2 linked regions of the Kluyveromyces lactis genome follow. The protein of the gene in region 2 interacts with the protein of the main gene of each other region in a biochemical or structural test. Links are inferred from orthologs where the notes say so. Each region holds a gene or a part of one and is shown on either strand. Other genes may lie near its edges. The genes, in order: STE4 and CDC24.

Region 1 (3,464 bases), on a different chromosome or scaffold from region 2:
CAAGTGGTTGTTTACAAACATATCAGCCTTACGTTCCTCGAACAATAAGAGTCAAAACTCAACAAATTATTTTACCAGATGCTCCTAAAGTCTACGAACTGCCGACAAGGAAATGGAGAATGCAATTATTTATATTAGATGAAGAAGGAAACGAGCAACCGGCCACCTTATTTGATTATGTTACCTATCACCTTCATCCCACATTTGAACGACCACTACGAAAACTCACGGAACCTCCCTTCACCCTAGATGAGCAAGGTTGGGGTGAGTTTGAGCTAAAGATAATAGCAAAGGTCAAATTTTGCTCGACAACTTACACTTTTCATCACGAACTATCCTTCGATAATAATGCGTACAATGTTGATTATGAGGGAAGGTTTCCCTACCATCAAACCAAACTGCGGGAAGAGTTATTAAATTCTGGCAGTGTACCAATTTACAATGAAGATGAAATAAGTTTGGGTCAAGTTACAAACTTACAAAGGGCTATTAATCTTATATCGGTATCTGATGTTGATACTATTCAAAAGGTAATTAATACAATTGTTACATTTCCTCCGGTATCTGAAGAAATTGCTAAGAGACGTCATCAAGAGGATGACATTGTAATATTATTGTCTCAAATTCCGAACCAGCTGCTCAATAAAATTTGCAGGTTGGTGGAGGCTTCCTCAGCTGCATCTTAAAGTTTCACTTACTGCGATGAACAAGAGCCAAACTGAGCGGTTTCAGTAGTATTATAAGGGCTATTTTGCGGCTTTTTTCGATATGCATTACCATTCTCAGTTCATCATTTCACTGATGAACCGGTGTCCAAACTTTTAGGGTCATATCCCATGAGCTAGACACTACTGCCATTCCATCAGGGCTCGTCTTGACGGCATTTATTCTGTTTCGATGACCATCAACTTTGCCAATCATTTCTCCTTTGATAATATCCCATACTGCACACCCGTAATCCGCATAACAAGCGTACATCAATCTACCAGAAGAGCTGAAATCTATTGATATGACTCCTTGATCTTCGATACAACTTTCCTTGAAATTCAAAGATTGAGGTGTTTTTACAATTGGATAAGACGAAGTTGAAGAAGAGGATGAGCCATACCGATTTTTTTGAATACGAGAATAAGCATGAGAATGAGGATGAGGATGATGTTGTTGTTGAAGCTGGTGCTGCTGAAGTAAACCGTCTGAAAATGAGTACGTCGATATCTGACAATCACTTCTTAAGTCAAATAACCTAGCGCTACCATCATCTGAACCCGCCATGAAGGATTCTCCATTGTTGAAAAATTTGATGGCACTAACATCACTATCACTGATGAAAAAACTTTGGGCTGAATTCGGCTGTCTAACATCCCATAGATACGCATACCCGTCCGATCCTCCGGTGATGAAATTATGACCATATCGACCAGTGTTTGCTGGTGGTAAATCCATGGTCAAGACATCGCCTAAGTGATCTATAAATTCCGTAACTCTTTTACTTTTAGGAATATCCCACATAGCGCATGTCATATCACCACTTGCAGTCAAAATAGTCCTCTCATCAAGAAACTCCGTAGCTGAAATGTAGCAGGTATGGCCCTTGAAGATGGAAATCACATTCTGTTGTATTCTATTATCTCTTGAAACACGATACACTGAACAATGATTGTCCAAACCCGCACTTGCAACCAGATTTCCGCTGGGACTGATAGCGCTACTCAAGACCCATTGGGATAACAAGGGGATAGCGCTTTTTTTAAGCCCAGTGAAGGGATCCCATATGATTATAAACCCGTCTTGGCTCGAGCTGAGTACGCTTGCCGAATCCTGGCTCCATTTTACGTCTGAGATTTTATTATTATGTCCTTTCAAAGTTCGAACCGGTTGTAAGTTTAACTCGTGTAATGAATTGACGCCGTGAGACAAGTTCATCAATTGAGTGTCTTGAATTTTGCCTTTAATTCTGTTGATTTGGTCGTATAACTGCTTGCACTCCGTCTTTGCTGTCCTTATTTTGTCCTCCACTGTACCAGCTGAATTCATATTGGGATAATGGTAATCGTGCACAATCAGTTCCTGTGGACGAATTGCATATTCTGCTGAATCGACTTCCATCTTGGATGCTGTTTGCAACTAGACACTGTAATAAGGAAAGGAAGGGGGTTGAAATGAAATGAGTAAGTATCGAACTTTGCAAACTTCAATCAATGATCACCAGCATTAGAATCTGCGATTCGATTAAGAGGCACTCTGAAACAGATTTCGTCCTTTCTGCTGATTTCCTCTCCAGGACCTTCATATATATATATATCCCTAATTTACTCACAACAAACTAATTTACTACAAATATGAACAAGGCAATGTACCAAAAATGCCCATTAACGCCGCGAAAGGAAACGACCATATTTCTTCCATCATGTATATATATATCATGCATAAAAGTCATGTCATTTTTGCAAACAACATTAAACCTCCGAACCAAAGCTGTACAGGCAATCTTTCTCTGCTATTTCACTTGTTTAACAGATTGTCAACTTCGATGTATATGCTGTACTGCTGTTAAATCCTAATGAACCAATGCCTTATTTAGTTCGCTATGTAACTCAATTGCTAATTGCAGCTCAAACTTCCAGTCATGGATTTAGACACTCCAAATAAAAGCAAAAGTAATATAAAAGATATCAATGCACATATTCAAGCGTGCTTTCCTTAGCGTCTCGTTCTACAGCATGAGGAATTGTATCCTCAAAAGGGCCAGTGTCGAAGCTCCCCAGTGAAACAGCGTTGTATATTTCACATGATGCCTAGAAAAGCCTCTCTTAAACAAGACAGATCTTACCAAGTTTTTGTGAAATGACAACCTCAAAAACTGTCGCTCTTTGCAAGACGATCTCCACGCTAGGTGAAAAAATAAAATAAAGGAAGCCTACGCGAACACTCAATACAGACGCAGACTATCACATAGCTCTCACACCTTACTTAGATACATTTACTATGGCGTTATGGCATTTACTGCGTTCAGTTTTCGGTGACAGGGGAAAAGGTCTCCGGTACCAGGAACGGTTAATGATGTGTGGCTTGTAGCAACCAAAAAAAACCACTGTTCTAGAGTCCTAACTTCGAATGCAACATGTAGTCGAATTTGCTATCATGATGCAATGATACTATGATATACCTAATGTTCCCACATGAAAGAGCTTGCTGGCCACAAACCAAAAAAATGTAAAGATTAGGGAATCGAATAGATCCTGTTGTGAAAAACTGCTGCATAAGGTTATTCAAGGACGAGATGATACTATGACTATGCATTCAATGATAACTACGAGTTTATATATGCTAAATTGGTCCCGCTTTCCCGACGCTCACATCAGACCGCTGGTTTGGGCTTGGATTTGGGTTTCTTCTTGCTTTTCAGACCTCTTTCTAAATCACCTGTCACCTTCTCCAAGTACTCTGGAACTGGTTTCATATTT
Region 2 (4,386 bases):
ACAAATCATCAAAGCAAAGCTTCAACGAAGAAGGATACTGTGGACCATGTTATGGTGCATTAGACCAATCAAAGAATGACGAGCTACCACAAGATCAAAAAGTATGCTGTCAAACTTGTGACGATGTGCGTGCAGCCTACGGACAAAAAGGATGGGCATTCAAGGATGGTAAAGGTGTGGAACAATGTGAACGTGAAGGATATGTTGAGAGCATCAATGCCAGAATACATGAAGGTTGTCGTGTTCAAGGACGTGCTCAATTAAACAGAATACAAGGTACCATCCACTTCGGTCCAGGTAGTTCAATGCGTAATATCCGTGGCCATTTCCACGACACTTCGCTATACGATGCATACCCACATTTGAACTTCAACCATATAATCAACACCTTGACGTTTGGAGAGAAACCCAAGGATGGAGACAGCGAATTGATCGGTTCTGCTTCAATTTCACCATTAGACAGCCGCCAAGTGTTCCCAGACCGCGACACACACTTCCATGAGTTCTCATACTTCTGCAAGATCATTCCTACCAGATTCGAATTCTTAGATGGTAAAAAAGTTGAAACTACTCAATTCAGCGCCACGTACCACGATAGGCCTCTAAGAGGGGGCAGGGACGAAGACCATCCAAACACTGTTCATTCTAAAGGAGGTGTCCCAGGTGTTTTCTTCAATTTTGAGATGTCGCCTTTAAAAGTCATAAATAAAGAACAGCATGCAACATCATGGTCTGGTTTCCTTTTGAATTGTATCACAAGTATTGGTGGTGTCTTGGCAGTTGGTACTGTCATTGACAAAATCACATACAGAGCACAAAAATCTATTTGGGGTAAGAAGAGCTCTTAAGCAAAGATAGATAGAAAGAGAAATTGTACTACTGTTCTATAAAAGTACATATATAGAAGTTATGTGTGAGTTTGACACTTGTAATTCTTATTTTCCAGTTATAGAACGAAACTCTAGCGTATATCAATATTCAATGCCAGATATGTAGGATTATTACACGACACCTGGCAAGTGCCGCTAATTGGTGTTATACTCTTAAATACCACTGAGAAGTATCTCCTATATAAAAAGAACCTCCAGAATTTGATCCACAACAATGTTTTCGGGCCCCAAAGGTTTTGACCCAGAGATCTCAGTATTGACATTACTCTTGAAAGAAAAAAAAAAAAAGAATAGAATAAAACAATACTGAAATTAACGAAACAGCCAGTGTCTTCGAAGTGAAGTTAAAATAATTCTTATCGTTGTAAGTCTTCCAGAGCTGTACAAACAAGGTTTTTACTATCTAGGAGTGTCAGAGAATAATTCTGTTTTAGTTGCAGCCTGCCATAATGGCGGTAAATCCATCAGTATCCAATGTTTCGCTGACGAGTGTGCGTTCAAATAGCACACATTTATTAATGAACAAAAAGGTGACAGCACAGGAGTCATTATATCATATGTGTTTAATGATCAAGAAGAGATTAGAGTTTCTGCCACAGCTCCAACCATATTTGAATTTAGCGCATTCGAGTTCAGAGATTCTAGCAGAACACCAAGCCCTGCTTTTATCGCAGAAACAGCAGTCACAGCAGCAACATCGGCAGCGAGGTTCGCATTACGAAGGTAGTAGTGCACAAAGTACAAATGGTAGACTTTCCTCCTCAAGTACTCTTCATAGGGACTCTAGTTTCTCGGCTACGAGTTTTGGAGAGGACTCTGAGCATTCTCAGTCCTTTAATATGGAGGACACTTTACTGACTTTTTCTGTTGGTATTACGCCTATATCTGTCGATTGTGACCCTGTAACGCAACTTTCTAAACTATTTCAACAGGGTTCGCCACTTTGTATTATATTCAATGCCGTAAGACCTCAATCTAAGCTAACGGTGGTCTCGTCAGATGATATTAAGATTTGTAAAAAATCTATCTACGACTTCATTCTTGGTCTGAAACAACATTTTGCATTTAATGACGAAGAACTGTTCACCATTTCTGACGTTTTTTCAAATTCGACAGATCATTTCTTGAAAGTTTTGGACGTTGTGAATACGTTGCTGAATGCTGCACCTGAAGTATTCCCACAAATTGATATGAGCACACAGTTGGAATCTCAACGTCTTGCGAAACCACAGACAGAATATGATAAAATTGTCAAAGAATTCATCGAGACTGAGAGAAAGTACGTGCATGATCTAGAAGTTCTGAATAAGTATAGGAAGCAACTTTTAGACAACCAAATTATCAACTCGGAAGAACTGTACATGCTGTTCCCCAATTTGAATGACATAATCGATTTCCAAAGACGGTTTTTAGTGTCATTAGAAGTCAACGGTCAAGTTCCATCTCAAAAACAAAGAATCGGGGCCTTATTCATGCATTCCAAATATTTCTTCAAGCTATATGAACCTTGGTCCATAGGTCAAAATGCAGCGATTGATTTCATTTCGTCTAGTTTCAACAAAATGAACCCAAATAGCACTAATTTTGTCATCGGTAATAAAATGGAACTGCAATCATTCCTTCTCAAACCAGTCCAAAGATTGTGTAGATACCCATTACTTCTCAAAGATCTTTTACAACACGCAGAAAGTGATTCTAAAGAATTGGAGATTGCCTTGGGTATTGCCAAATCCATTGCAAGGAATATTAACGAAAATCAAAGGAGAACAGAAAATTACGAGGTTGTCAAACGTCTCTATGGTCGTGTGGTAAATTGGAAGGGTTACCGCATCGCTAAGTTTGGTGAGTTATTGTACTTTGATAGAATATCAATATCAACGAGCAATTCCAATGAGCCAGAAAAAGATTTTGAAGTGTATCTATTCGAAAAAATCATACTATTATTCAGTGAGGTAAGCCAGAAGAAAGGAAGCTCAATAAGTTTAAAAAAGAAATCGAATTCATCATCTGTTCTTCATCTTTCAAACTCTTCGAACACTAACATGAATGATTTCACGAAGAACACTGGGAAACTGGATTTAAGAGGTCGAATTATGATAGTTAACCTGACTCAAGTCGCTCCGATTGATAACTATTCCCTGAACATTATTTGGGAATCAGCCAAGGAAAAGGGGAACTTCATACTAAAATTCAAAAATGAAGAAACCCGCAACAACTGGGAAAGCTGCCTTCATCAGCTTCTTCGTCAAATTCGCAGCGAGTCCTATAAAAGTGTCAATACGAATAGCGATATGTCGTCATTCTCCTCACCAGTCCAATATTCTCACAACAGTGTTGCCTCCATTGGTAGCACTCTGACCAGACAAATCTCAGAAGTCCTTCCCAAAAGCCATATGTCCAATGCCCGTCAGTCATTTGCAAGCGAATACAGATCTATATCCGAAAGTTACAAAAATTCAATCCCTGACACTATGCTTCTACTGAGGGTCTCATTCAACAACGATTTTTACACAGTCTTAGTATCCTTAGACTGTTCTGCGGAAGATCTGTTGCTTGCGATTAAAAGGAAATTGGCACATTTAGGAGTAATCACGAAGGTAAAATACCAGGATGAAGATGGTGATTTTGTGATGTTGGAAAGTGATGATGATTGGTATGTTGTAAAAGATATGCTGAAAGAGAGTAATGAAAGACTATTGAACGTTTGGGCTTATACAAACTGAGACATATTAATAATATTTTACCTTTGATTGTATTATACATAGATTTCACTTTTTGGCGTTTTTCAAAGGTAAATGAAGACAATTCCAGTTTGACAGGTTCACTTGGTTGATTTAATATAAGTTCAGTTATTAATGAAAATCATATTTTACAGATATGAATAAATAAATTATATTAGATAAATAAATATTTCAGGCCAAATTTTACTCTGACTAATTTAACAAACTCAGGTAAGTGTGTACTTTGGACCATCACCTCCCTCAGGAACTTCCCAATTAATGTCCTGAGTTGGAACCTTGATGTCACAGGTTTTACAATGAATACAATTTTGTGAGTTAATCTGGAATTTCACACCCAATGGGGAGGTTTCGTCTTCAACATACTCATAAACACCAGCTGGACAAAATCTTGATTCGATTCCCTTCCATTTTGGATACGCAATACTAGTATGTTTTTCCATATCTTGCTCAGGGACTCTTAAATGGCATTTTTCGTCATCATCGTGATACGTTCCAGTTCTTGATACTGATGTTAAGATATCAAAGGTAATCTTTCCATCGGGTTTTGGATAATCTATGGGTTTGTATTTATCTGCAGATGCTGTTATAGCAGCATCTGATGCATGGTGATGGAACGTCCATGGAACTCTGCCTTTGAGTATGTAAGAATCAACACCTGAGTATGCCATACCACCGAAACCCCCTAGTGGTGTTGCTCCGAATGAAGGCCTAATATTACGCACTTCATAAAGCTCTTCATATATCCATGACTCTTT

Evidence for each region.
Region 1: the proteins of CDC24 (region 2) and STE4 form a complex in vitro, tested with the Saccharomyces cerevisiae proteins (2 studies listed by BioGRID). The link is inferred for Kluyveromyces lactis from reciprocal best matches to the Saccharomyces cerevisiae genes CDC24 and STE4.

What each region holds. Positions count from the first base shown.
Region 1 is NC_006040.1:584,931-588,394, reverse strand, and holds STE4 (G protein subunit beta), read right to left. Parts: upstream 2,107-3,464; coding exon 796-2,106; downstream 1-795. Other genes in the region: KLLA0_D06809g (uncharacterized protein), read left to right, coding at 120-686; TBF1 (Tbf1p), read right to left, coding at 3,359-3,464. UniProt on the Saccharomyces cerevisiae protein: Implicated in the a- and alpha-factor response pathway. The beta and gamma chains of the putative yeast mating response pathway G protein play a positive role in initiation of the mating response.
Region 2 is NC_006039.1:1,097,292-1,101,677, forward strand, and holds CDC24 (Rho family guanine nucleotide exchange factor CDC24), read left to right. Parts: upstream 1-1,339; coding exon 1,340-3,613; downstream 3,614-4,386. Other genes in the region: retrograde cargo receptor ERV46, read left to right, coding at 1-848; CIR2 (electron-transferring-flavoprotein dehydrogenase), read right to left, coding at 3,838-4,386. UniProt on the Saccharomyces cerevisiae protein: Promotes the exchange of CDC42-bound GDP by GTP. Controls the polarity of calmodulin, and the calcium regulatory process of bud emergence. CDC24 may be involved in the initial selection and organization of the budding site.